Linked DNA regions of Saccharomyces cerevisiae S288C. The gene in region 2 interacts genetically with the main gene of each other region. Each region holds a gene or a part of one and is shown on either strand. Other genes may lie near its edges.

Evidence for each region.
Region 1: mutations in RPL6B (region 2) and COX20 together harm fitness more than expected from each alone (negative genetic interaction), as found in Saccharomyces cerevisiae (one large-scale study listed by BioGRID).
Region 3: mutations in RPL6B (region 2) and YOR385W together harm fitness less than expected from each alone (positive genetic interaction), as found in Saccharomyces cerevisiae (one large-scale study listed by BioGRID).
Region 4: mutations in RPL6B (region 2) and TCM62 together harm fitness less than expected from each alone (positive genetic interaction), as found in Saccharomyces cerevisiae (one large-scale study listed by BioGRID).

The regions. Positions count from the first base shown.
Region 1 is NC_001136.10:921,089-928,792, forward strand, and holds COX20 (Cox20p), read right to left. Parts: upstream 5,823-7,704; coding exon 5,205-5,822; downstream 1-5,204. Other genes in the region: chromatin-silencing protein SIR4, read left to right, coding at 1-559; PCF11 (Pcf11p), read right to left, coding at 838-2,718; IVY1 (Ivy1p), read left to right, coding at 3,697-5,058; HEM1 (5-aminolevulinate synthase), read left to right, coding at 6,364-7,704. UniProt on the Saccharomyces cerevisiae protein: Involved in the assembly of the cytochrome oxidase complex. Required for the maturation and subsequent assembly of the mitochondrially encoded COX2, the precursor of subunit 2 of cytochrome oxidase.
Region 2 is NC_001144.5:1,027,351-1,032,114, forward strand, and holds RPL6B (60S ribosomal protein eL6 RPL6B), read left to right. Parts: upstream 1-1,503; coding exon 1,504-1,518; intron 1,519-1,902; coding exon 1,903-2,418; downstream 2,419-4,764. Other genes in the region: VMA6 (H(+)-transporting V0 sector ATPase subunit d), read right to left, coding at 1-543; peptidylprolyl isomerase FPR4, read left to right, coding at 3,484-4,662.
Region 3 is NC_001147.6:1,060,889-1,068,821, forward strand, and holds YOR385W (uncharacterized protein), read left to right. Parts: upstream 1-4,154; coding exon 4,155-5,027; downstream 5,028-7,933. Other genes in the region: FIT3 (Fit3p), read right to left, coding at 1-167; FRE5 (putative ferric-chelate reductase), read left to right, coding at 676-2,760; deoxyribodipyrimidine photo-lyase PHR1, read left to right, coding at 5,951-7,648.
Region 4 is NC_001134.8:321,321-329,999, reverse strand, and holds TCM62 (Tcm62p), read left to right. Parts: upstream 1-3,940; coding exon 3,941-5,659; downstream 5,660-8,679. Other genes in the region: protein phosphatase regulator GIP1, read left to right, coding at 1-1,827; QDR3 (Qdr3p), read left to right, coding at 6,055-8,124; CST26 (putative acyltransferase), read left to right, coding at 8,391-8,679. UniProt on the Saccharomyces cerevisiae protein: Chaperone. Required for the assembly of succinate dehydrogenase subunits. Ensures mitochondrial gene expression at elevated temperatures and prevents heat-aggregation of the ribosomal subunit VAR1.

The DNA.
Region 1 (7,704 bases), on a different chromosome or scaffold from region 2:
TGGGAAGCACGCATCAGAAAACATCTCACTCTCTTTCTCAAGACCTGCGTCCTACGGCTATTTTTCTGTTGGAAAAAGGGTTCCAATCGTTGAAGATCGTCGAGTGAAACAACTCGACGATATAACAGACAGTAATACAACAGAAATTTTAACTAGTGTTGACGTTTTAGGAACACATTCACAAACTGGTACTCAACAATCAAATATGTACACATCAACCCAAAAAACAGAACTTGAAATTGATAATAAGGATAGTGTCACCGAATGTTCGAAGGACATGAAAGAAGATGGTCTTTCCTTTGTGGATATCGTTTTGTCGAAAGCAGCATCGGCGCTGGATGAAAAGGAAAAACAATTGGCTGTTGCAAATGAAATTATTCGGTCTTTGTCAGATGAAGTTATGAGGAATGAAATTAGAATAACTTCACTTCAAGGTGATTTAACTTTTACAAAGAAATGTCTTGAAAATGCGAGAAGTCAAATATCTGAAAAAGATGCTAAAATTAACAAATTGATGGAAAAAGATTTTCAAGTGAATAAGGAGATAAAACCGTATTGACTTTTTATCATTCTACAAAAGACCAGTAACGAAGTGTACCCTGTTTTTCTTTGTCGTTTTCTTCTATAATGAACAATTTACTTTACGGTCTTTAATCGATTTTAATGATTAGTTGGGCTTTTGGCTACATATGTAAAATTACATATAATATAATGGACACATAAGCAAAAAAAAAAAAAAAAAAAATAAACAAATGAGCAACCCATCAAATACCAAGAACAAAGAATTTAATATAATATATAGTTATTAAATTTAAATGTATATATGCAGTTCTGCTCTTATTTTGTGACCAATTTCTTTAAGTCATCCAAACCGACCTTGCCACTATTAGATTTGCTTGAATTTTGCGACGTTTCATGATAACATGTCGAGTGGAAATATTTGCCATTCACTTCAATAGTATTTTTCCAAACCCATTCACCAGATTCTTCATCATAAACGCCAGTAACGGTTTCCTTACAAATTGGACATTTGAAGGCCATATCTTGTGAAGTTTCTGGTACAACAACATATTTTCCCCGTATTTCCAACTCGTTACTTCTATCACTTCCTAAAGTGTTGTCTACAGAGCCTTCGTCATTTTCATCAGCGTGAATATTTAGGGCACTTTTATCGATATTTTTATTGGCATGCGGATCAGTATAATCATTTTTATGCTTTGTGGAGGTAATTTCATCATCTTTGAAGGCTGCCCATTGAGAGTCACTCAAATACCAGTTTCTTGATTGAATATTTTTCCTTGTGGTAGTTGTATTTAAGTTAGAGTTGCTTATGCCTGTATTTGCTGTGTTTTGTGATCCCTTAATTCTTGTATTTATTCTGAAATGCCAGTCCAAATGCTCATTTTGTAGTAGTTTTTCACTTTCTGAGTTGCCAAATCTCTTACCACACACGCTACATTTATTTGGCTTGGATCGGTATAATAAGTGAATAAGATTATTTTGGACGATGGGATTTTCTTGAAGAAGAGTTTGTTCGGACAGCTGCAGGGATGGGTTATTCAAAACGTCGATGTTAACCGTGGCAAAATAAGCTTTGCAGTCAGAAAGAATATCATTTAATAAGGGTATCTTTGGCAGGTTCTTCATCAATTGTTTTTCGTGTGAATCAAGAGAGTAGTTTGAGTGTCCATTTAGCTTTTTATAAAGCGTTACGATGGATTCTTTTGGTGGAGTATATATGAGCCCTTCAGCCTTAAGAGATGCATAGAGGTTATTGATTTTGTTTAGGGACTTTTTTTTCTCAATTTCTTGAAAAGATTCAACGCCAGAAATATTACCAAAAAGAGAGGAAGATAAAGAATTCTGTTGGTTCGTTGTATCTGAATTATTTCCAAACAATGGAATCGCTGAATTAGAGTTTTGTGTGTAAGAACCGACCATATCCTTAGTTTCGTGATACTGCTGCTGCTGCTGCTGTTGTTGTTGTTGCTGTTGCTGCTGTTGTTGCTGTTGCTGCTGAAGTTCGTGATACCTCATTCTTTCCTGCAAAACTTGTTGGTCCTGTGAGAAGACCTGCCTTAGTTGCATTTGAACTTGTTTCAGAGCATTGAGAGTTAGTTTTTCTCTTTTCAGTTCTTGTTTCAACTGAGATAAAACCAACAGTTTCATTTTTAATTTTTCATCATTTGGTTGATTCTTTAGCCTTTCACTAGTTAAACAAGTTAATTTATCAATGTCTCTTAATAGGAGGGGAACAGTCGGAGTTGGTAACATTGCTTGCAGGTTTTTCTGGTGGAGAGCACTGGCCTTTATTAAAAACTGTTCAATTTTCTCCAGTGCTGAGCCTTCAAACAGAGGCAGGCCGGTGTCATTAGGATTCAACCAAAGCTTAAACATATTGATGAGTTTTGTTCTTGTGGTGTTGTCCACCAATAAGTATGTTCTTTTGTACAAGTTAAACAAATTTCTACTGAAGTAGATTGTGTATGGGCTGCCAACATTCTTACAAATGGAGTCCAAGGCATAAAAAGCGTATAGCTTCTGCTTAGGCATACATTTTTCAATTCTACTCTCAATGGCGTCAACAAAATATTGAGCACACGAAATGTTTTCTTCTGCTAACTTCGTGAGAGTGGTAATAATGGGTCTCGAGTTAAAAGTTAATTCTTCAAGAATACTGTTGAAATCCTTGACTATAACTTCTGTGTCGTGATCCATAATGAAAAGAGAGTATTACAAATAGACCTAGTGTTTTCAAGTACAGTTTTCTTAACTGCTCCGAAAATTGTCCTGGTAATTCTTTGCAATGCAAAATTGAAAGAGAGACTTTTAAACTACTAAACCCTTAACAGTAGAACAACATTGTCTCATTAATTTTTGAAATTTCGCTTTCTTCCCATGCCTTAGGCCAAGTTCTCATCCAATGCGTCGAGTCCTTAAAAAAAATTCGCCCGGGTAAACTAAAACTTAGATGCACTAGGTAATACCATTTGGTGATAAAGGGAATAAAAAGCAGCAAATCCTAGCTCAATTACGAAACTCTGATCACTTGGGGCCCAGCTTCATTGGCTAAATTGGTGTATCCCTTGAACCGACTACGTAAGTACGTTTTGAAAAGTGTGTAAATCTATGTATAAAAGTACATCAAAAATTAGACTGAGAAAGTTCTGTATAGCTGTACTAATACATTAGGAATAGGCTAGACTTCTTCGCCGCTGGAATAAAACAGCTGGGCCTTCTCTTCATTGGTACCACTTGCTTTGCTCTATTGAAAGTACAAAGAATAGAGCAGACGAGTGTAAACATCCTATCTGCGTTCCAACAGAAGTGCGTATTGAAGTCATCTCATGCTAATGGCCATCTCATGTAGAATAGTAAGGAAAAACGTATCTAATTTATAAAAACTTGAGTTAGATCTCAAACTTCGGTAGATTGCGCCTTATTTAACGGATGATATACACTTATTCTACTGCTCACATTACTCGTTTTACAGGAAAAAATGGTCAATGCGGGCAAAAGAAAAAAATATTGGGCGATATGTTACAAGAAAAGGGTGAGATGGAAATTTATGCTAAACATTAAGTGGAAAAAAACCATATCCATACAATAGAAGTATATATTCTGAATAAAGGGTCAATTAAATTTCACCAAGGAATAAAATATTGTTAAAGAAAGTAACAGGAAGAGAAATCGGATATGCCTGACAATAATACGGAGCAATTGCAGGGATCTCCTTCAAGTGACCAGAGACTGAGGGTTGACTGGGACAACGGTAACCATTTTGACGTCTCTCCCGACAGATACGCGCCTCATCTATCTGAATTTTACCCAATTGTAAATAGTAAAAGACCAGTGGCTAGCAGTGCTGGCTCAGAAAATAACGACCATCTGGACGACATGAACCATTTACGTTCATCCAAAGTGTATTCAAAGGCCCGTCGGGCATCGAGCATAACTTCTGGTACGAGCACAATAAACGACTTGCAAACGCTAATCACAAAGAGAGATGTGAAAGAGACCCAGGAAGCCCTATCGACATTACTCAGGAACTCGAATGCTTATTCGGATTCGTTATTAAAGACATCTCAGAATGGGGCAGAAATTGCCCATTCCTTAGAAAACATTGCCAAGTTGAAGGGTTGCAATGATGAAACGGCGGAGAAACTATTGAGTGCCAGTGGGTTATTCTACCTTTTATCTAATCATCAGCTTATAATGTCAAAGTATTTCAATGACTTGTTGGGAGATAATTTAATTGATGATATTGATGAATTCGAATTACAGACCAAGATAATGGAGAACAAGTTCAAAGCACAAAGCAAAGAGCAAAGTTTAAAATTGAAATTGCAGGAAAGACATAACTTCGATATCTCGAAAAGAAAAATAAGGAATTTAATCTCATACCGAGAGAGCCTTTCTAGCTTGCAAGCAAGGTTAGATCAACTGGAGACACTAAAGCACGATTTTTACATGGATTCATACGAACTTGTGGAAAATACATGCAACAAAGTACTCAGCAAAGTTGCCACGGTATCTAGGGCACAAGTGGAAATTTCTGAAAATATTGCAAGGAAAGGTTGGTCTGGAGGCGGGCTAGACGAACTACTTTGTGATGCAGACGACCCCTTCAGCAAAAAAGCAGATGGGCCATACGGGACCATCGGTGGTGATGGAGAGACTGCTGGAGAAGCATACAACAGCGATGAGGAAACGGGTGGGAATGACGTGGTGCTCAATGAACTACTAGAAGGAACCAGCCAACCTTCCACATCAAAAACATCTTTACCCAAATCCAAGGGGTCCTCAACGGTATCCACACCGAATCATTCACAGTCAAGTTCAAACAAGGACGGGGTACGAAACAATGGCGGCGGCAAAAATGGCGAAGATGAGGATACAGACAATTTGATGGGAACAGAAAATTCATTTTCTTTACCGCCTACGAGAAACTCTGCCGAGGAAACCACACAAACGTTTAAACAATTGTCCATTAAAGAAGATAATGACAATCACAGCAGCGATACGGACGGCATGCAAGACCAGTCAAGTAATATATAAAATTTGTAACTCTATGTATGCTTTTTATATAGAAATGGAGAAAGTGAACAATTGAAGTTATAGTATTTTCGGAGAAATGTTGCATATATACATAGGAAAACGGTTAAAAGGCCCTGCTTCTACCTTCTGTTTCCCCCTCGTTCTTTTCACCAGAACTTGTACCATTTCTTCTCAGAGGAGGCCTGAGATAAATTCTGGTTACTTTGTTCAAACTGACTCTGCTTTTCATTTTTGGCGGCCTCCCATTGCCCCGGCAGAGATGGGTCATGAGGGACATTATGGAGCATTGGTTTTTCCTTTTTCGCCACGGTTTCCTTTGCCAATTGTGCGATCTGGAAACTTTTTTGTCTCTTTAGCCTACATTGCTCCCATCCGACAATCGAGCCCAGTATCAGAGAGCTCATCGCCCAATTCGTGGCCTTAGTCGGGCTCTTATGGTATATAAATATAATAGATCCCATCAAGAACATGCTGGAAAACCCGAGCATGCCCGCGTCTCTGAAGCACGGGATTGAAGTCAGCTTCTGCAAACTAAAATCACTCCATCTGATCGAGTCCCAAGCCTCTTTCAAAGTAGCCCGTTCTTGCTTCTTGGCCAACTGAGAATTGGACAAGTCATCGGCAAACTTGGGTGGAGTGTCTTCTAAGAGGATCTTTTGACCCCGCGAGTAATTTGTCAGCACGCGATCACCATCTGCTTTACCCTGCGGTTGTTGCTGCTGCTTTTGATCTTCTGTCTGATTTGACCACGGCCACCAACGCATCTTTATATTAACTGTTGAGCTGCTCGTTACGCACTGCTGTGGACTTCACTACAATGCTTTACCGAGCAGTGGAGTTTGATATAGTGGTGGTACCCCCGACGGTGCTATAATAAGCTTGCCTGCACGGCTTACCCTACCGCTCGGAAAGGCCGCCTTCGTCGCTCATTGGTCTGCGGCCGCGGGCGCTTTTTGGTCATTGTTCATATATGAAGAAAGAGCAGGAACGGAAATTTTTCATCTTGCCTTGCCCATTGTTCTGATCCATGCGTTGTTAGAAATACAACGTTTGCATCATACCAAACTTCTCCATTCCGTCAGCTGATACTCTATTCGGTTGTGTGTTGCACCCTGCTCTGCTGTCTCTCAACCGTTCTTCCTTTACACGCCTTCCCTTCTCAGCTCGCGTTTCTTTTTTTTTTATCCCACTCTTTTCTTTTTTCTTTCCTATATATTGCCCATATAAGTTTGGTTGGAAGGAAAACTAATAGAGCTAGTTGTTGTCCCTCAATAATCATAACAGTACTTAGGTTTTTTTTTCAGTATGCAACGCTCCATTTTTGCGAGGTTCGGTAACTCCTCTGCCGCTGTTTCCACACTGAATAGGCTGTCCACGACAGCCGCACCACATGCGAAAAATGGCTATGCCACCGCTACTGGTGCTGGTGCCGCTGCTGCCACTGCCACAGCGTCATCAACACATGCAGCAGCAGCAGCAGCCGCTGCTGCCAACCATTCCACCCAGGAGTCGGGTTTCGATTACGAAGGCCTGATAGATTCCGAACTGCAGAAGAAAAGACTTGACAAATCGTACAGATATTTCAACAATATCAACCGATTGGCCAAGGAGTTCCCCCTAGCTCATCGCCAGAGAGAGGCGGACAAGGTCACCGTTTGGTGTTCCAACGACTATTTAGCACTTTCCAAGCACCCTGAGGTATTGGACGCCATGCATAAAACTATCGACAAGTATGGTTGTGGTGCCGGTGGTACAAGAAACATTGCTGGCCATAACATCCCCACTTTGAATCTGGAAGCCGAATTGGCCACTTTACACAAGAAGGAAGGTGCCTTAGTTTTTTCGTCATGTTACGTAGCCAACGATGCCGTCTTATCCCTACTGGGTCAAAAGATGAAGGACTTGGTGATTTTCTCCGACGAACTCAACCATGCGTCCATGATTGTCGGTATTAAGCATGCTAACGTAAAAAAACACATTTTCAAACATAATGACTTGAACGAATTGGAACAACTGCTCCAGTCATACCCCAAATCCGTTCCTAAACTAATTGCTTTCGAATCAGTATATTCTATGGCCGGTTCAGTGGCCGACATAGAAAAAATTTGCGACTTGGCCGACAAATACGGTGCTTTGACCTTCTTGGATGAAGTACATGCGGTCGGCCTGTACGGCCCTCACGGTGCAGGTGTTGCAGAACATTGTGATTTTGAAAGTCACCGTGCAAGTGGTATTGCTACCCCAAAGACCAATGACAAGGGCGGCGCGAAGACTGTGATGGACCGTGTCGACATGATCACCGGCACTTTAGGTAAGTCTTTCGGTAGCGTAGGTGGCTACGTCGCAGCCTCTAGGAAATTGATCGATTGGTTCAGATCGTTTGCACCTGGTTTCATTTTCACCACGACTTTACCACCTTCAGTTATGGCAGGCGCTACCGCAGCAATTAGATACCAACGTTGCCACATCGACCTAAGAACCTCGCAACAGAAACATACCATGTACGTAAAGAAAGCTTTCCATGAGTTGGGCATTCCAGTTATTCCAAATCCTTCTCATATCGTCCCAGTGTTGATTGGTAATGCTGATTTGGCTAAGCAAGCTTCTGACATCTTAATCAATAAGCATCAAATCTACGTACAAGCT
Region 2 (4,764 bases):
TCTAATAATTTCAATGTTCATATCGTCTAGCTCCTCTGCCGTGTCAAAACAGTTTTTGAAGTAAGGTGCCAGTGGGGTATCCACCAATACGGTTTCGTATAGGGATTCAAGATCAGTAGCAACACTCAACGTAGGCAAAGTATCAAACCAACCTAGCGGATGACAACGTTGTAAAATTTCACCCTTATCACGATCATGAATAGTACCTGTAATCATCAATGCTACATTGTCGATCATGTAACCATAAGTGATATAGTCCATGAACTTTCTCGTGGATCCACTGGATTGGTCTCTTATGTAGTTGAATTCGTGGTACAACTTGCTAGAAGCATATTCTTGAATCAATGACGTGGTCAAAGACTCTGAGGAAACAGAGGAAAGAAAATTACCATAATCAGTTGATGATAATTGTAATTTTAGATCTTCCAACGTGTCACATTGTGTTAAGTTGATGTATTGGTTATTAGATAACAACCCATTTCTGTAGCCTCTCACTACACCTTCAATAAACCCATTGTCAATATTGAAATACACGCCTTCCATCTTCGCAAGACTTTAGCAACACGATCCGAATGGTATACTCTTTTGCTAGCTCTTAGCGTTCTTTATGCCATACCTTAAAGGGTTAAGAGGTCAATTGTTCTTTTGTTTTTGCAGTATATCGAAGATATTTTAAAAATACGTCACTTTGTACGCAGATATCAGCGTAACAATAGGTGCGCGGAAATTACTTAGTTCCATAATACAAGAATCTGCTGACTTTGCGTCTGTAAGATAAGAAGGGTACGGCCCAGAGTATGAATCGTTGGGGGATGAAATCACTTTTTCATCTTCCTACAATTCATTTTGTCCTTGAAATACATAATAACAAAATATTAATGAAACTTGCATGTTACCAAATAACTTGAACTTCAGCACTTCTATTTGTATACCAGTATCACAGCATTCAGCAAATTTGATTATCTCTCATGCTTCATGTCCTACCTTTTTTCCTTCTTTCTTCCTTGTCTTAATCTGAAAGTTACTAATAATAATAAAGACAAAATATCACCCATGCACCAAAATGTATGGGTCATAATTTTTTTTCTTGCCTTCAAAAATCGTTGTTAGCTGCAAAATGGCGGTGAAACACATAGTTGTGGTTATGCGTCCCCTCCGGGCGGCCGCAGATGGAGGATGCCCCCATGTGCTGATTCTCCCCGTAGGCGGCGAGTAATATCCTCGCCTAACCTGGACTTGCCGTGCTAAGTCGGCCTTCTAGGCTGCGCTTCCGTTCAGCATCGTTTACGGTAGAGGGAGCACATGGGCGGAAACAAACCTCATTCTGGTCCTGTGCTTGCCCATTTGCACTGTATAGAGTGTGTGAGTTTCAATTAATGTTGTAGGCGCGAGGCCCTGTAATATGGCAGTTGATCAAAAGTCAATAGATAATTTTCAAGCAAAATCTCATTTAGGTTTGACTACTTTCTTGAACTTGGAAGAGAAGCAAATATATTCAACGAAATGACTGCCCAACAAGTATGTGTAAAGATGAGTAAATTGAAGGATGTGATGGTTATGGAGATGGCACACGTGCCTAGAGGAAAATAGTTACCCAAGAACAAAAGCAGGAAGGGAGCTAACCTTTTAAATATGAACTGGACAAAACTGGACAAAATGAAAATAACGATTTTAGTAAAAATGAAAATATAGCATCAAATGACTGAGAAACATAGTAACAATAACTCATATTATAGCTAATCTGAGTAAACTTCTTCCTACGCTAAGAATTTTTTTGAGGATAGTACCAAACCTTGTGCTGAATCAGCACACGCCATGCCCACCATCAATTGTGCAAGAAAAAAGTAAACGAGTAGTATACTAACTATATATGTGATTTACATCACGATATGTCAATTATAGGCCCCAAAGTGGTATCCTTCCGAAGACGTTGCTGCCCCAAAGAAAACCAGAAAGGCTGTTCGCCCACAAAAGTTGCGTGCCTCTCTAGTTCCAGGCACTGTTTTGATCTTGCTAGCTGGCCGTTTCAGAGGTAAGAGAGTTGTCTACTTGAAACATCTAGAAGACAACACTCTATTGGTCACTGGTCCATTCAAGGTCAATGGTGTTCCATTGAGAAGAGTCAACGCTCGTTATGTCATTGCTACCTCTACCAAAGTCTCCGTGGAAGGTGTCAACGTTGAAAAATTCAACGTTGAATACTTTGCCAAGGAAAAATTGACCAAGAAGGAAAAGAAGGAAGCTAACTTGTTCCCAGAACAACAAACTAAGGAAATCAAGACTGAACGTGTTGAAGATCAAAAGGTTGTTGACAAGGCTTTGTTGGCTGAAATCAAGAAGACCCCATTGTTGAAGCAATATTTGTCCGCTTCTTTCTCTTTGAAGAACGGTGACAAGCCACACCTATTGAAATTCTAAATTGAACTGAAAAAATTATAAATGATTTAAAATAGAATTTCAAAACAAGGAGAATTGATAGAGAATGCGTTGATCTGAAAATACTGTTTGACAATAACGGAAAGGTAAGTGGATATGTAATCTAAGTTTAATCCTCTTCTAATTCATTTTTCCTATCAACATTATCTGTGCTTTTCTATATCCTTCTTTTTGTATCTATAATTTTTTTTTTCTCTTACATAGCAAAATACAAAAAATCATAAATATTAATATCTAAGGGTTCAAGATCAGGTCATCGCCGTTCTGGGCCACTAGGCTATATCTATTCATTTACATTGGAAGCTGCATGGTCTACTCCAACCGCACTGAGGCAAAGTCTCTGTGGAGGAAATGCTGTCCTAGCGAGCCATTGCAATAGGTATAATCAGAGTCGTCCTCCCAATGTGTTAACTTCTCTCAAAACCACCATATAAATTCTGTAACCTGCCAGCGATAATGTTATATATGTAAAAGGTAAACATACAACCCAATTTGTCCATACTAAGTGGATGCTGGGGAAGCAACTACAGTGCAGATGCTAAAGTTTGCTGCGGCAAATAATCTCAACATTTTTGTGATTAAACCTGCCTCAGTGGGGTGTATGATTAGTGCGTTGATATTTAATACACGCGTAAAAGTTAAGTCTGTTGTACGTTTTATTTCGAGTGACGAAAGAACTACGAATAACTTCCTGCATACTGTTGCCTTTTTCTGTATTTACGTATACTTTTATATCAAATAGCTTGGCCAAAAGAAAGTAGCATTGTGTATCAAGTCATAATTCTAATTCTTAGTTTAACTTCAGCAAAAATAATATTCTTCGTCAGACATTCTCATACAATCATTAACCCATATGAACGTTAAATTTCTCAATTTCTTGCCTTCGATGCCCTATGTATATTTTTATCTCAAACCCGAGGCAGTGAAAATTTTAGCTGGTGCATCGAAAAGAGAAGGGCATTGAAAATTTTACAGTGTTAAAAGAAGTGCTTTTCATGTTAGAATGATAAGAAAAAAGAAAAAGACAACAAAATATACGTCTCTACCATGTCTGATATGCTTCCATTGGCTACGTATAGCCTGAATGTTGAACCATACTCCCCAACCCCAGCTCTGAACTTCAAAATTCCGGTTACCATTAGAATCACAATGGCGGCCATCGACCCTGAGCCCTTTGACGATGACAAAAAGCCATCTACTTTAAGAATAATCAAAAGGAATCCTGAACTCACTCGCGGTGAGTACTACAACCAAGATAACAATGACGGCCTCGAAGAGGATGAAAGTGAAAGTGAACAAGAAGCAGATGTACCAAAAAGGAGTGTCAAATCAAAAAAAGGTAAGGCAGTCGAGCAAAGTGAATCAGAAGACTCTGAAGATGAAAACGAAATCGACGATGAATTCGAAGAATGCGTTCTTTTAACCTTATCTCCAAAAGGCCAATATCAACAAGCTTTGGATATTACCATTGCACCAGAGGAAGACGTTCAATTCGTCGTTACCGGTTCATACACTATCTCTCTAACCGGTAACTACGTCAAACATCCATTCGACAATTCTTCAGATTCAGACGAAGATGAAGAAGACTATTACAGTGACGAAGAATCTTCCAATGGAGAAGAAGAAGAAGAAGAAGAAGAAGAGGACGATGAGGAACTAAGTTCCGGTGATGACGATCTTGATGATTTAGTAGATGCTAGTGACATCGAAAGTCGTCTTGATGAATTAGTCAAAAAGGACGAAAAGAAGAAAAACAACAAGAAGGACAGTAAAAGGAAACATGAGGAAGATGAGGAAGAAAGTGCTAAACCTGCCGAGAAAAAACAAACGACCAAGAAAGACAAGAAAGCAGAGAAAGTTAAAGACTCGGAAGAGAGCAAACCAAAGCCAAAGACGAAGCTACTGGAAGGCGGTATTATCATTGAAGACCGCGTCACAGGAAAAGGCCCACATGCCAAAAAGGGTACCAGAGTTGGAATGAGATATGTTGGTAAGTTGAAGAACGGGAAAGTTTTTGACAAGAATACAAAGGGTAAGCCTTTTGTTTTTAAGTTGGGCCAAGGCGAAGTAATTAAAGGATGGGACATCGGTGTTGCTGGTATGGCGGTCGGTGGTGAGCGTAGAATTGTCATTCCTGCTCCATATGCCTACGGTAAACAAGCTTTGCCCGGTATTCCTGCTAACTCTGAATTGACATTTGATGTTAAATTGGTCTCCATGAAATAGGGTCCTTAATGCATACGTATTGATATATGTATCTATAATACTATATACAATTATCTATACTTCCATTACTAATATTATCTTTCAATTTTACATGTTTTTTTC
Region 3 (7,933 bases), on a different chromosome or scaffold from region 2:
GTGCTGCTGGCGTAAGAGTCTTCACCACCCCAAACAAAAGTAGCATCTTGGGTGACAGTCTTAGTGTAGACATGACCGTTCTTGGTGGCAGTGATGGTGGTGGTGATACTCTCAGCAAGAGCAGTAGCGGCAACAGCAGATAGAACCAAAGCGGAAGAGAATTTCATTTTAGGGATTATTGTTATTAGTTATTTTTAAGCGAGTGGAAGTACTTGTTTGTATCTGTTCGAACATTCATATTACCTCCTAATACTTCAAATAGTTCTTGGCTTAAATACCCCATAAATCAACTTTTACAAAAAAAAAAATAACAAATCTCGAACGATAATTGAACCCCATTTTTTTGCACCCTTTCCTAGAATGGCGGAACTCGGCTCTTGAGCCCTTAGATTGCTTTCCTTCACATACATCAAAAAATATGGGATAGCGGGGTGCGGAACAAACAGGGTGCAAAAAAAAATCTAGGACATAGGTAGGACTAAGAAGACTGTGGCATTACTACACAGCAATCATATTTTACCGCTTCCTCGTTTAATTGGATTTTTACTTTTCATTACATTAGCGATCATTAAAAAAGGAGCGTCAATTTTTTACTTGGCAAATGTGTAATGTAGCGTTTTCGGTATGTCACATCACCAATTTTGTCGCAGTTAATTTAATTCACCCAGATTTCGAATGCTTTTCGCTAGATTAGTGCTGCTGTTGGTGTATTTGGCACCAGGTTCTTTAGCAAAACCAGCATCAACTAAGAAAAGAACGCAATGGGACCAGATAGCAATTGATGCTTGTGCTAAAGAATTGGAATCACACAAATTTGACACGGATGTGAAGGGTCGGCACGCTACTCTTTGCACTTATGAACCAGCACTAGGGTCTTGGTTACATTGCGCGAAGGATGTTCTCGACAGTAGGAAGAAAAGTAAAAAAATATTCGAAAAAACGTTTAGCAAAATTAATCAGTATTGCCACGATTATCACAAAGATGAGGTCGTCAGCAATGAGGAGTATTATCGAATTTTTGCCAATGCATCCCTTTTCATCCGGCCTCTTGATGAGGTAAAGGAAAACATACGATATCCCGTCACTCCCAATAAAGCCTCTCTAGATAGGTGGGTATGGGCTTATTTTGGGCCCCTGGATAATATAGACAAAGGAAATGTTTATGGAGTGACGATTTGCTTATACTGGATAGGAGTTCTGTTTATTGCAGCTGTATATCACTTCTTGAACTTTTCTCGACTTAAACAAACGGTGTTCAAAAACAAGGTGTCTGCTTTCTTAAGAGGCCACTATGTTCTTCCAGCGCTTGTTCATAACCATGCTATGTCAGTGGGAAGGTGGTTTTTCATCGGTCTGGTCCCTACCAGGTTAGAGACCCTTGTCCTATTCGGTTACGTTTTGTTGCACGGGTTCTTGTTGAGTAGTTACAATTTTGACCATAATGAGTTGCTCAGTGATCGCAGAAGCCAAGTGCTTATCTTCCTTTCCGACAGGGCAGGGATCCTGGCATTCGCACATTTTCCTTTGATAGTTCTCTTTGGCGGTAAAAACAGCACAATGACTTGGCTCACAGGTATAAGATATACCGCATTCATTACTTACCACAAATGGTTAGGAAGATTCATGTTAGTAGACTGTACGATCCATGCAATAGGATACACCTACCATGCATACATAGAAAATTACTGGAAATACGTGAAGTATAGTGATCTATGGACATCCGGAAGACATGCCATGATCATTGTTGGAATACTTGTGTTTTTTTCGTTCTTCTTCTTTAGACGACATTATTACGAATTGTTTGTTATTACGCACATTATCTTAGCAATAGGATTTTTCCATGCGTGCTGGAAACATTGCTATAAACTTGGATGGGGTGAATGGATAATGGCGTGTGCACTGTTTTGGATTGCTGACCGTATTCTGCGGCTAATAAAGATTGCAATTTTTGGAATGCCATGGGCTAAATTGAAACTGTGTGGCGAGTCCATGATAGAAGTGAGAATCTCAAAAAGCTCCAAATGGTGGAAAGCAGAACCTGGCCAATATATATATCTGTACTTCTTAAGACCAAAAATATTCTGGCAATCACATCCATTCACGGTCATGGATTCTTTGGTTGAGGATGGTGAGTTGGTAGTTGTGATAACAGTGAAAAATGGGCTAACCAAAAAATTACAGGAATACCTTTTAGAGAGCGAAGGGTACACGGAAATGCGAGTACTAGCAGAAGGACCTTATGGACAAAGCACGCGAACACATTTGTTCGAAAGCCTCCTGTTTATTGCCGGAGGGGCGGGTGTTCCTGGACCTCTGTCGATGGCAATAAAGGCAGGTCGCCAGGTCAAAAGCAACGATTCTCATCAAATGATCAAATTTGTGTGGAGTGTACGTAACCTTGATCTCTTAGAAGTGTATCGCAAAGAGATAATGGTGCTAAAAGAGTTGAACATAGACACAAAAATTTACTTCACAGGAGAGCGAAAAGATGAATCGAACACGGAGGAGGGAGCAATTGCTAATATGAGCACGGAAGGCAGACTGCTGACGACATCGAAATCAGCGGAAATGATTACTGATTTTGGACGACCAAATATCGATGAGATAATTGAAGAAGCAGTAAGTGGTGCAAAATCTTTGTTGGTCACTTGTTGCGGGTCAGAGGGCTTTGTAGACAAGACACGAGAGTTGACGGCAAAAAGAGTTCTTGAACACGGTGACAAATGGATAGAATACGTGGAGGAATTCCAGAATTGGTAGCATTTCAATCCGCCCTATCAATGCTAACCTGTTACGAATACCAAAACCACAAAAACACGGACCTTGTTTAATTACTGTATGAAATAACTGTACTCCATTAATATTCAATGCATTTAGTCCTTAAAAATCAGCGGGAATCTAATAAGCCGGCGAAGGTACTACACCTCACCCTTACTGTTATTTAAAAATCCTATTTGTGGGGATTTGCAATTAGTTTTCATCGCCAAATAACAATCCTTCACTGCACACCACTACTTAAAAAAAGGGTACATTGCTAACATTCTTGGTATGAAAAATTGCAGTCATTTAGATTGAGTTGGCAAAAATACAAATTTAACGCATGAGTATAAAATCGCTATTCGCTTTATTATTATTTCCTCCCTGATTAATAAATATCGAAGGGTAATCAGGGTTACGGGAACAGTACTTATCGGAGGAATAATAAGCAGCACCCTTTAGAATGTGGATCGTTTCAATACAGTCGCATCTGACATATACAGCGCCACTGTCGTAAGTTGTCAATCACGAGAACATAATCTTGAAACACGGATGGCTACATAGAGTTACCTTTTTCATCATGATATGAATTGATACTTTAGGCATGATAGAAAACAAAAGTTTTGCATTACATCAGGGTATCCAATTGAAAATGTTCTAGCTATTCATTTACCTTCCCGAAAAGCATTCTTCGAAGCTGCAGTTCTTTCTGCCATTCATCTCAGAACTGTCTTCGTTGCAGAGTCAAAGTTGCCACTTTTCTTCATTTATTTGATATAGAAAATGCGCAATATACAATCTCTCATTGCAGGATTGATATCATTTTTCCGAGGGAGCGATATTCAACCAGGTTTTGCCAGTCAACGGTGAAGGGTAATACATCAGGTAGGTTGAAAATTAGGCGAGTGAATTAAGAACTTTCTTCCTTTATTACTCTCATTCAATGCCAGTTCGATGAAAATTAGCGGGCAACGATACGCAAATGTCTCGTAAATACTTACGTAATAAGTTATTATTTAATCAAACTTCAATTCGCAAACAAATGAAGGTTACACTGTACTTGCATCACTTACAGTGGGTTTGAAGTTTCTATGATAGTGGTATCTCGAATTACTGAGAAAATACTGATAGTGAGCTCTTGACGAAAACCTTTCTCCCCGATTATCGCCTATGGTGTATGTCATAAAGGCTTATAAAAGCGAGGCTTTTCATAGAAATATCACTTCATTGTCAGCAACAGGGGCTCATGTTCATTCGTAAGCCTCTTAATTTTTCAAAGGCATTGTACATAGAAACAGCGAAAAAACTGTAGCAGCCACTTTCACTGAGCTACTGTATATAAGGCGGGCAGTAGAAACCAAGACATAATAATTCAAAGAAGAAACAACCAATTAACAATGCGTGGTTTCAGTGGTCAACCATTGAGTGATGATGATAATTATAGAATTGAAAAGACTCAAAGGAACACAATTCCTGAACGTCTCCATTTTAGCAGAGAGAGAAATATGCCCATTGCAAGTATATTCGGGACTAGAGGATATTTTGTATTCTCAAGTGAGCAATCCTATGACAAATTCAAACAGACAAACTTTAATATCAGTACTCTAGATGCGGATGGTGTAGGTGTTCCTCTTTTTCATATTGTCCAAAGTTATAACGTTATTGGCAAAATTACTCGGAGCTCGCCGGATTTCTATATCTACAAGTACGTTTTACAAGGGGTGCAAGATCCGCCTTTATACTCTGATTGTAAAGTTATTTGTCAAGATAAAGTTTTTCGTTTATGCAAAATTTTATATTGTGAAATTTATGCTCATCAAGGATTTTTTGAAACTAAATACGATTTCTTCTATCCTTCTAAAACGCAGCCGGTCAAAAAATACCAAATAATCAAACAAAGTAATATGCGAGATCTATATTCCACTTTGGACGGTATGCGTTTTCGTTGGCATGTGAAATTCTACAGCGATCATTTTCGATTGATGTTCCTAGATGAGGACAGGCTCAATTACTCAAATAGTAACCAAAAGGAAAGGCAAAAACCAGATCAAGGAAAAAGTAAGGCTCCAGATTTCGTAATTGGCCATTATACAAGAACTTTTTCCGATATACTCCCTAGATCCACGTCAAAATGCTCCAATCTTATTATTGGAGAACACTCAAAGCCAGACTCTCTTGGTATCACGACCGTTCCTGATTTGACTCAGGAATTTGCCTGTCAGGGAGCTTTAATCCATTATCTGCTGCATATAGAACGAGAAAGAAAATAAAAAAAGAAACAGAAACAGAAATAGAAAATGGTGAAGTAGGATACAATCTAGTGGCTTATTACTCAAGGATTTTTTCGCAATCCGTCCAATCCGAAAAATATAACTTGACGTGTAACACCCAGAGGAACGTTATACAGGCAACTGAGGTCGAATGAAACGAGATTACTCTTTAGGTTCAATTGAGCAGGCATTTATCCGAGACATTACGACCTAGCCAAATGAGATACATACATATTAGCTAGAACTTCGCATCACATATTTTTTCAATTTTTTTTCAATACGCAATTATTGCCCATAATTAATCTGAGGTTTTCATACTTATTGGCAATAGTAAGATCAAGGTAACGTTGTTTTTGGTTTGACTTTATACAGGATTTATTCCTACGTAGTCAAGATTATGGTATATTTTGTGTGCATTTTAACACCGGCGCTAGTACCAACATCTTTTTACTGATTGTATTCATAGAGTATCCTTTTAATATTACTTAGCAAGTATTTTGTAACAAATCCAAGCATAATATAACAAGCTCCGTCAATTGAACCCACCTTTTTAACAATATGAGAAGATACAGCTGTTTTTTCTCGAAATTGTTATCTAGAAGTTTATGCAAAATCAAAACTCTATCCAGAATCATCATCGGAGCTTTTTGAAATCCATAAATCTTTCTATCCAATAAGCATATTAAAGAAGTTATTGATATGAAGATGACGCTTCATAATGCTAGCTACAACAATTACGTTTGATGACTGCGTATTCAATTATTTTTATCCCGAACTACATATCTCGCTTTTACTGGCGCCACTTTTCTTCCTCGTTTTTCGAGGAAGCAGTCAAATTAAACCTTAAGGGGTGAAAGTATGCTTACTTTGACACTTATTCCTCTTTACAATTCGTTTCACAGAACAGACAACCAGCACTGATAATGAAAAGAACGGTAATATCTTCCTCGAACGCATATGCTAGTAAGAGATCTCGGCTGGATATAGAACATGATTTTGAACAATACCACTCGTTGAACAAAAAATATTATCCAAGGCCAATTACTAGGACAGGCGCAAATCAATTCAATAATAAGTCTCGGGCTAAACCAATGGAGATTGTGGAAAAACTGCAAAAGAAGCAAAAAACGTCGTTTGAGAATGTTAGCACTGTCATGCACTGGTTTCGAAATGATCTACGTTTATATGATAATGTGGGACTGTACAAAAGTGTTGCGCTCTTCCAGCAATTGAGGCAAAAAAACGCAAAAGCCAAATTATATGCTGTTTATGTCATCAATGAAGATGATTGGAGAGCCCATATGGATAGCGGATGGAAATTGATGTTTATAATGGGGGCGTTAAAAAATTTGCAGCAGTCCTTAGCCGAATTACACATACCTCTTCTTCTGTGGGAATTCCACACTCCAAAAAGTACCTTATCTAATTCAAAAGAGTTCGTGGAGTTTTTCAAAGAAAAATGTATGAATGTAAGTTCAGGAACAGGTACGATAATCACTGCTAATATAGAATACCAAACAGATGAACTGTACCGTGATATTAGGCTGTTAGAAAATGAAGACCATAGATTGCAATTGAAATACTACCACGACTCTTGCATTGTTGCTCCTGGATTGATCACTACTGACAGAGGCACCAACTATTCTGTGTTTACTCCATGGTACAAAAAATGGGTGCTATATGTAAATAATTACAAAAAGAGTACCTCTGAAATTTGTCATTTGCATATAATCGAACCATTAAAGTACAACGAAACTTTTGAACTGAAGCCATTCCAATATTCATTACCGGATGAATTCCTTCAATATATACCTAAATCAAAATGGTGCTTGCCAGACGTTTCTGAAGAAGCAGCTTTATCCAGATTAAAAGATTTCCTCGGTACAAAAAGTTCTAAGTACAACAATGAAAAAGACATGCTATATTTGGGTGGAACCTCTGGGCTAAGTGTATATATAACTACTGGTAGGATAAGCACAAGACTTATAGTCAACCAGGCATTTCAATCATGCAACGGACAAATAATGTCAAAAGCACTGAAAGATAATTCGTCCACCCAAAATTTCATCAAAGAAGTTGCATGGAGAGATTTTTACAGACATTGTATGTGCAACTGGCCATATACCTCAATGGGAATGCCTTATCGATTGGACACTTTAGATATAAAATGGGAGAATAACCCTGTAGCATTTGAAAAGTGGTGTACTGGTAATACAGGCATTCCCATAGTCGATGCCATAATGAGAAAATTACTGTACACAGGCTATATTAATAACAGATCTAGAATGATCACAGCTTCTTTTCTTTCTAAAAACTTATTAATAGATTGGAGATGGGGGGAACGCTGGTTTATGAAACACTTGATAGACGGTGATTCGTCTTCAAATGTTGGTGGCTGGGGTTTTTGTTCTAGTACAGGAATTGATGCCCAACCATATTTTAGAGTTTTTAATATGGATATACAAGCAAAAAAATATGACCCACAAATGATATTCGTCAAACAATGGGTTCCCGAATTGATTTCTTCCGAAAATAAGCGTCCAGAAAACTATCCAAAACCTTTAGTTGATTTAAAGCATAGTAGGGAGCGTGCTTTGAAAGTTTATAAAGACGCAATGTGAGAATAACGTCTCCTGATTAAGCAGGTGTGCTTTAGTAGTTTTGCCGCTTTGCTTGATCACTGTTAGTATTTCGGCAAATTATATGGTATTGGTCGCCTTGCCAGGTTCTTTAGGAAGTTCATCATAAACTAACGCTTTCAAGAATTTACGGAAATGATAGGGTTTATAGTTTTTATAACAGTAGTGGACCTAGAAAACACCGATAGCTGGCGGCGGTTATATCTCATTACTACTATGAAAACTGTGGCTCCTGAGTAGCTACTGAAGGATGTGCCCATCTTAATC
Region 4 (8,679 bases), on a different chromosome or scaffold from region 2:
TCCCTGTTGCATTCTGATACATTAGATTTGCGTGACTTTGCAAAACCTAATCCCGCTGACACATTTTCTAATCTTGATTCTGGTCATTGTCCTTTGGTCACAACTCCAATAAAATATGAGTGCCCAGATGGAAAGAGTTCTTTTTTCCGAGGAGACACTAAATTTGAAACCCTGTTCAGTAATAGAAAATTCTATGAGTTCAAAGATAATTTGAAAAGGGGATTGAAGAAAATACGTCATGGGAGAAACGGACATCAAAGCGAAAAGAGATGTCCAGTTGTTGAAGAAACAAAAAAGTCTGTGTCAGATAATCTGGACAAACCAGACAATAATACGCCCTGTTTCGACAGATTCCACACAAATTCGAAAGAATTTGAAACGCAATTTGATCATTCAAATAGGAGCCAAAATTCCGAGAAGGCTTATCTAGACAATGAATCCTGTTGGAACCTAAGTGAGAAATTTATTCCTTTTAATAATTTAAAATATGAAGATTTGAAACATTTTGAAGAGAATTTGCAAAGCTTAGCGCCTGCAACTTTTACTCCAATTGAATCAAATGAATCGCTTGATAGGTCAGATTCGACACGTGGCACAAAACGAAGCATTCGCAATGATTCCAGTGATACAACATCTGAAAAGAGGCTATGCTTAAAACAATACTCAGATGAACCTGAATCGGATCATTCGATGGAAAGTACACCATCCATTTACATTACCAAAGAAGTTCAAGAAAGAATTGAAGCATTAAGCTCCACGGATTCGTTTTTAATTGAAAAAGTAGATTTTCCCTCTAACAAAATTGGTTCCAGTGCCTCCGATTATGAAAGTGATAACGAATACAGAAATATGGATGAGGATTCAATAAACGATGTTACCACTGAGAAAGAGGGAAATGTGGTCATACCAGACTCTAATACTAGCACGGTGGACGCAATGGAAAAACCAATTGAAGTGAGCTCGGCCTTAAAAGATGATACATTGGATAAAGACATAGATGATGCGAGCAGTAGCTATTCGGATGATGTAGAGACCACATTCGAGCCAGTTGAATCTGAGGAACTTTCCGATTTATCTGATACAAGCTCAAGTGGAAGTAGTAAAATTTATACTATCCCCACATTTCGCGGCCTTACTAATAGGACCAATATATCACAAATTCTTTCAAAAGTTGGTAAAGCTGATTTAAGCCAAGATAACTTAACGCATTTGATCAAAAGTCATCAAAAAAAGAAAAGATGCGTGAATTTTAGAAATAAAAGATTCTATGATGCTTTCAATCCATATGTTGATAACGAAGAAGATGCAGAGTTATCTGACAGCGAAAACATTTCAGAAATGGATACAGATCTTTGTATAAAGGATCGGAGTACCTCAAGTGTTAGGTTTGATGAAAACTCACGTCTTTTAATCTACAAAAAATCTAAAAAGTTAAACAAAGATGAGACTCAAAGTGGTTATTCGACTACTGAAATGAGGTCAATTCTAAAGACAAAGATGAATTCACAGCATGATGAGGAGTCTCAGAGAGCTTCGAAGTGTGACACAGTAGGTGTAGCCCAATTTTTACATTATTTTCAATATACAGAGTATAAAAGGCAGAGAAATGAAGCAGAAAATTATAGACTGAGAGGAGAGCAACTAAGCAAGTACTATTCTGAAGAATATCCTTTGGATTTTGCGGCTGTTGAATGCGAAGATTCCGTTAATGATAAATCTGATATCATACTTAGTATGAGAGCTACGGAAAGAAACATTGGTAGGCAACTGAAAGGTATAAGTAGTCAAGGGGCACAAATTATATCGCTTGATGAGGATGTTTTTTGAGCGAAAAAACAACACTTAACTGCCAATACTCTGTAAAATTGTTTTCACTTTACATCAATACATTATCTACGTGATTATACATATAGTTATGCATTTGTAGCTAAGAGGGAATCAACTACTGATAGTTAGTATTCAGTGAATAACATAAAAAAGCATTAGCATACAAAGATAATACGCCTGTGCAATTTTTTGCCTATCAAATGCGCCTTTCTAGACAAGATATTTGGTTGAATATGGGTCAGCTATCTTCTATCTGTCGTTACCATATCAGTTTAAGACTACATTGTTAATATTGCTGGAATAGGATTATAAGCGGCGTTGGAATCGACCGCACAAACTACTTGGCTATTTATATATGATTCAAAATTCAGCACCTGATTTAGTAAAGGCAGAACTTTGACGATTGGTAATGTGTTAGAAAAATGTTCTGCAATGTTATATAGAATACGGCTTTCTTTATGTGAATTTTGATATATTGGTGGATTTTGTCATAATTTTTGGGATTTCGTTGTTGTTAAGGTTATAACATTAGGAATAGAGAATATGATAAAGGTTCTTCCCCAGGATACAAAAATTTACAAAAGAGATTGATACTTTTACGTAATAAGGCTACTATTTCTTTCTCCATTTTATATATTGTCACCCATTGTCCTACTATATTTTATTTCAGCTTCCCAAACATCTGATGACTGTTTTTCAATCTTTATATCATCTTTTTTACACTGTATATGATAACATATAATAATATGACTACTGGTAGACAGATGAAGGTTGATTTTGAGATATTGGTGAATTTTGAGGTAATTCTTGGGGTTTTTATTGATTAAGGCTATAATATTATGTATGCAGAATATACTAGAAGTTCTCCTCGAGGATATAGGAATCCTCGAATGGAATCGATACTTCTACATAATAATATTACGATTATTCCTCATTCCGTTTTAAATGTTTCATTATCATATTACATTATCAATCTTTGCATTTCAGCTTCCTTTAACTTCAATGGCAGTTTTTTCATAGCTTATGTCATCATCTAACATCGTATATGATAATACCAGTAGTATAACTATAGTTGATGGACGATAGTTGATTTCCATTCCAACAGATTCTTATTCCAACAACTTTAATATTATCTTCTTGATGTAGTTGCACATAATATAGAAATACTTCGTAGGGAATTAGCATCCCCTCAACTTACAAAACATTCATTGAATTTACCAGTTATAGGGCATGCGTAATGCTTTTAGATGAGATATCCAATGTATACAACTAACCGATATCCAAAAATGACATAGTATCGAGTTCCGGGTCCAATGGTCCAGTGGTTCAAGACGTCGCCTTTACACGGCGAAGATCCCGAGTTCGAACCTCGGTTGGATCAAACTCTTTATTTTTTTAAATTTGCTACTTTAGGTTCGTAGAAAGTCTCTAGGAATGAAATTATATCTTCTGCGTTCGAAAAGAGTAGCTTTAGTTGAAGAAGTTTTGATTTGAAGTGCATTAATGTCTTCCGCTATCTGTGGGAGTGAAGGCATCATTAGAGATAGATCTCAGTGATACCTAATAATACAAGAAGTAGAAATAAAAAATGTGCCCCTAAAAGTACTACCAAGGTATCCGAATTGATTCCTTACGCAGACCTCCCCTATCACAAAATTGAGATGAGGAAGTAGCCAACCTGGTCCTATAAACGTTTAAGGGCAATACGACCGAGTTTTCATTTATTCATTTATATGAATTGCTCTGTCGTGTTTCTCTCTCGGTTCCAGCAGTAAATTTAATGAATCCCCCAAACATTACGGAGCATTCATTACAGATCGGTGGCACCGTTGTATGGATGTATTGCCTTTTTGGAACAATACATCTACTTGCCGAACGTTATGTTTTAGATGGGTCCGCTTTTAATAGTTTAGGTAATTCTTATAGGATTGAAAATCTCGGTAACTAAAATCCGTTATGGCTTAAAAAAATGTAAAAAATAAAGGCCCTTTCTTCCATTCCCTGTGAAACAAAAGTTTCGATAGTGCGATAGTTTACCTTTTACGAGCTTTAACCTGGCGTTATTTTCTCCCACACTACTGTAAACATAAAACTCTCTTATGCTTTAACGAGTATGCTGAGGAATTGTTTGAGGAAATTGGGAAATCATCAAACGAAATGTTCGGTAAAAACGTTACACACCCCAATCTATAGAACAAAAAACCTTCAGGTTCTCAGAGATACGCTCTCTGGTATTAAGCTGTTGGAAAAAATAATAACTTCATCCTCCTACAATAAAACATTGATATATGAACCTAAGTATAAATCCAAGCCACAGGTCGTTAGTTCTCATGATACCATGAGACTTCACAATGTAATGCGTGAGTTACTAGATTCCCTACAAGTAGATGAAGCTACCAACACACGACTTCAATCAAACAGGCCTCGAAAGCTGGGGAGGGTTGGTCTACAATTATTCATGGATTGCATTCAGGACAACTTAACAGCAACTTCAACATCTTTGACATGCTCTTTACTGGAGCACTATTTCAAGTATCCCGAAAAAGAAGTGACCAATGGGATCAAGGCCGGATTACGATATATCAGAGATTTTCTTGCGAAGAACAAGATTATAGTGAAAAGTCAAAACGATGTTGATGCTCTGGTCGAGCAATTGACTATGTCCTCCTCAGACAGCCAAAGCATCAAAAGGGTTTTGAAAGCCATTAATTATGAATTGTTTTCGGATGACATTGTGCGGGTCATAAACGGCAACAAAACTTACGATGAGGTTGATGTATCCAAGGGTTGGAAATATCCAGCTGGTATTTTAGATAGTAATGAAGCCTATTTAAGGTCCCTGGAGTTGCCTACTAAGAAATTAGTTTCCATTGATAAAGATATGCTAGTTCTTATGTATGATGGGACGTTACGAGACGCTAATAAAATTCTACCCACGATAACGTATGCAAGAAAGTTGAGAAAATCTGTTCTCTTAATCGTTAACGGAGATTGCACAGGTGATGCATTAACATCCGTTACAATTAACAATAACAGAAACAAGAGAGAAAATAATGAAAGCCGAATAGTGGTTTTGAAGTACTCTAAAAAGGCGAACAATGACTTAGCGCCACAGGAGAATCTTGATTTTATAAAGTTCTTACGGTTGCCTTGCGGATATGACAGCATCTACTCACCAGAATATAGTCCTTTAGTGCCAAGCAAAATGTGTGCGGATAAATATTACGGCAGTATCGAATCCATAAAAGCGACCACAGGGGAGGCATTCTTATATAACTCCATTGATGCTGAAGCGATTCCAAATAAAGTTCCGAAATCCTTCCTCCAAAATACGGTCACTTTAAGCATTGGTGGACATAACGAAATCGAAATCGACAGAAGAAGAAATGCAATAGATAATTGCTTAAATAACGTCCTATGTCATGGGCTGGCCAAAGGTTTCATCCCAGGTTACGGCATCTCCCTACTGAAGGCAATTCCAGGTTTGAATGAACTGAAAGCAAATGAACCCAATTTCATGACTAAGGTAGGCATCAATGCTGTTTTATCAGCAGTTATTCTCCCATCAGAAGTGGCGTTTAAGAATGCATATGGGTACAACTATTATGAGATCAATAGCCTGATAGCAGGCGCTATAAACGAAAAATCGTTTCCAATGGCCAAGTTTTCTCCAAATTCAGAACCGGTGAACACAGTAAAGGATGGAAACTTGGAGCCATGGAGCAAAATGGATTCTTGTTTAGCCGGTGTAGAAACGTTCATTGAATTACTTACAAGCTGTAATACAATTATCACATGTGTATACAAAAAGCCTGAACGGCACAAAGCCTAGATAAAGCCCTTACATACTTTTAAATAGTCAGAATGAGTCATTGTAAATAGATATTGCCACGGCGCTGCCTTTTATCACTTTTACCTCTTCGTAAATATCTATTATTCCTGCTCAATTTCTCATATGCGGCTTCGGAAAAACTCGGGTTTTTCCACGCCTCAGCAGTAACTCCATCTACCTTTGGGGATTTGAACCATCTCATTCCAGTTTTGGATAACTGCGATTAGATTAAAATATTAAAAGATTATCGATTAGATAAGATAGAAACCAACAAAATTTGTTGTAATAGCTGTGTCCTTGTATCCTTAAAAGAAAACAGGGTTGAAGGCATATGTATTCACATCTTTCTAACTTGTTAACGTCTATGCTAGGACCGAAGTCAGAAAGCGATAAACATGCAAGCCCAAGGTTCACAATCGAATGTAGGGTCTTTGAGGAGTAATTGCTCTGACAATTCACTACCGAACAATCATGTTATGATGCACTGCGATGAAAGCAGCGGCAGCCCGCACAGCGAGCACAACGATTATAGTTACGAAAAGACCAATCTGGAAAGTACGGCATCAAATAGTCGTGAACACAGAGACAACCAGCTAAGTAGGTTGAAGAGTGAGGAATACGTTGTTCCAAAGAATCAACGTAGGGGACTATTGCCTCAACTCGCCATTATACCGGAGTTCAAGGATGCCAGAGATTATCCACCGATGATGAAAAAGATGATTGTCTTCTTGATTGCGTTTTCCTCCATGATGGGCCCCATGGGCACATCTATCATTTTTCCAGCGATCAACTCAATCACAACAGAATTTAAAACATCAGTGATTATGGTAAACGTTTCAATTGGTGTGTACCTTTTAAGTCTTGGTGTTTTCCCATTGTGGTGGTCTTCTCTATCCGAGCTAGAGGGCAGAAGAACTACTTACATAACTTCATTTGCATTATTGTTTGCATTTAATATCGGGTCTGCTCTAGCTCCTGATATCAACTCATTTATTGCCTTGAGAATGCTCTGTGGGGCTGCTTCTGCCAGTGTTCAAAGTGTAGGTGCTGGAACAGTGGCTGATTTATATATTAGCGAAGATAGAGGTAAAAATTTGAGTTATTACTATTTGGGTCCACTACTGGCGCCGCTACTATCTCCAATTTTTGGATCTTTGTTAGTGAATCGCTGGCCCTGGAGATCCACTCAATGGTTTATGGTTATTTTATCCGGATGTAATGTCATTCTTTTGACGGTGTTACTACCTGAAACATTAAGAAAACAAGATTCTAAAGGCGCTATCGCTCAAATTTTGGCTGAAAGACGTATTCAAGTAGACAATAACGAACGTGGAGAGATACAAGAAGATTATCAGAGGGGAGAAGATGAGACAGATCGAATTGAAAACCAAGTTGCCACATTATCTACTGAGAAGCATAACTACGTTGGAGAGGTAAGGGATCAAGACTCGCTAGATTTAGAAAGTCACTCTAGCCCCAATACTTATGATGGTCGAGCTGGAGAAACCCAATTGCAACGGATTTATACAGAGGCGAGTAGAAGTCTGTATGAATATCAGCTAGATGATAGCGGTATCGATGCAACAACAGCACAAGTTACGAGAATAAGATCAACAGATCCAAAGTTAGCGAGATCGATTCGAGAAAATAGTCTGAGAAAATTACAAACCAACCTGGAAGAGCAAGTCAAAAAAGTGCTATCCAGTAATGGAGGTGAAATCGCTCCTAAACAGGTATCAGCGGTGAGGAAGGTCTGGGACACCTTTTTTGTTTATTTTATCAAGCCTTTAAAATCATTGCACTTCCTAGAATATCCACCCGTGGCACTTGCAATAACATTTTCCGCAATTTCCTTTTCCACAGTATACTTTGTTAATATGACAGTTGAATATAAATATTCAAGGCCTCCTTACAACTTTAAACCATTATACATTGGTCTACTGTATATTCCGAATTCTGTAACATACTTTTTCGCCTCAATTTACGGTGGACGTTGGGTGGACATGCTTTTAAAAAGATACAAAGAGAAATATGGAATTCTTGCTCCTGAAGCTCGTATATCGTGGAATGTTGTTACATCTGTAATATCTTTCCCCATTGCGCTATTGATATTTGGCTGGTGCCTAGATAAAAAATGCCACTGGGTAACGCCACTAATTGGAACAGCCCTCTTTGGATATGCAGCTATGATGACAATTGGTGCTACCCTTTCCTATTTAGTCGATTCATTGCCGGGAAAGGGTGCCACCGGTGTTGCTTTGAATAATTTAATAAGGCAAATCTTGGCTGCAACCGCAGTCTTTGTCACCACACCCATGTTAAACGGTATGGGAACTGGGTGGGCTTTCACAATGCTGGCCTTTATCGTCTTGGGTGCTAGCAGTGTACTTATAATACTGAAAAAGCACGGTGATTACTGGAGAGAGAACTACGATTTACAAAAATTGTACGACAAAATTGATTAATCATATCGGTTAATAAGACGGAAGCGTAAATATTTTCATTGTAGACTTTTCATAGGGTGGCACATACATAGTTTACTTTAGTTTATGGTAAATCGTTATTGTGCTAAAAGTATTATTAAATAATGTTCAACAACATCTCAAGAGGCGAAAAACTCATCAGAAAAAGAAATATAAACGCGAAAGATCATTAATGAACACTAGCCAACAAAAAAAAAGGATATATCAGGTCCACTGGTATTGAGATTGCTAGCGAGGTCAATAAGCTGATGCTGCATCAAAAAATAGCTCATAAAGTTCGAAAAGTCGTCGTCCCAGGTATTTCCTTATTGATTTTCTTCCAGGGATGCCTTATTCTTTTGTTTCTCCAACTCACCTATAAGACTCTTTACTGTAGAAATGATATAAGGAAACAAATTGGTCTCAATAAAACCAAAAGATTATTTATTGTCTTGGTATCATCCATTTTGCATGTTGTCGCACCATCTGCAGTGAGAATTACCACTGAAAATTCCAGTGTTCCTAAAGGTACTTTTTTTTTAGACTTGAAGAAGAAAA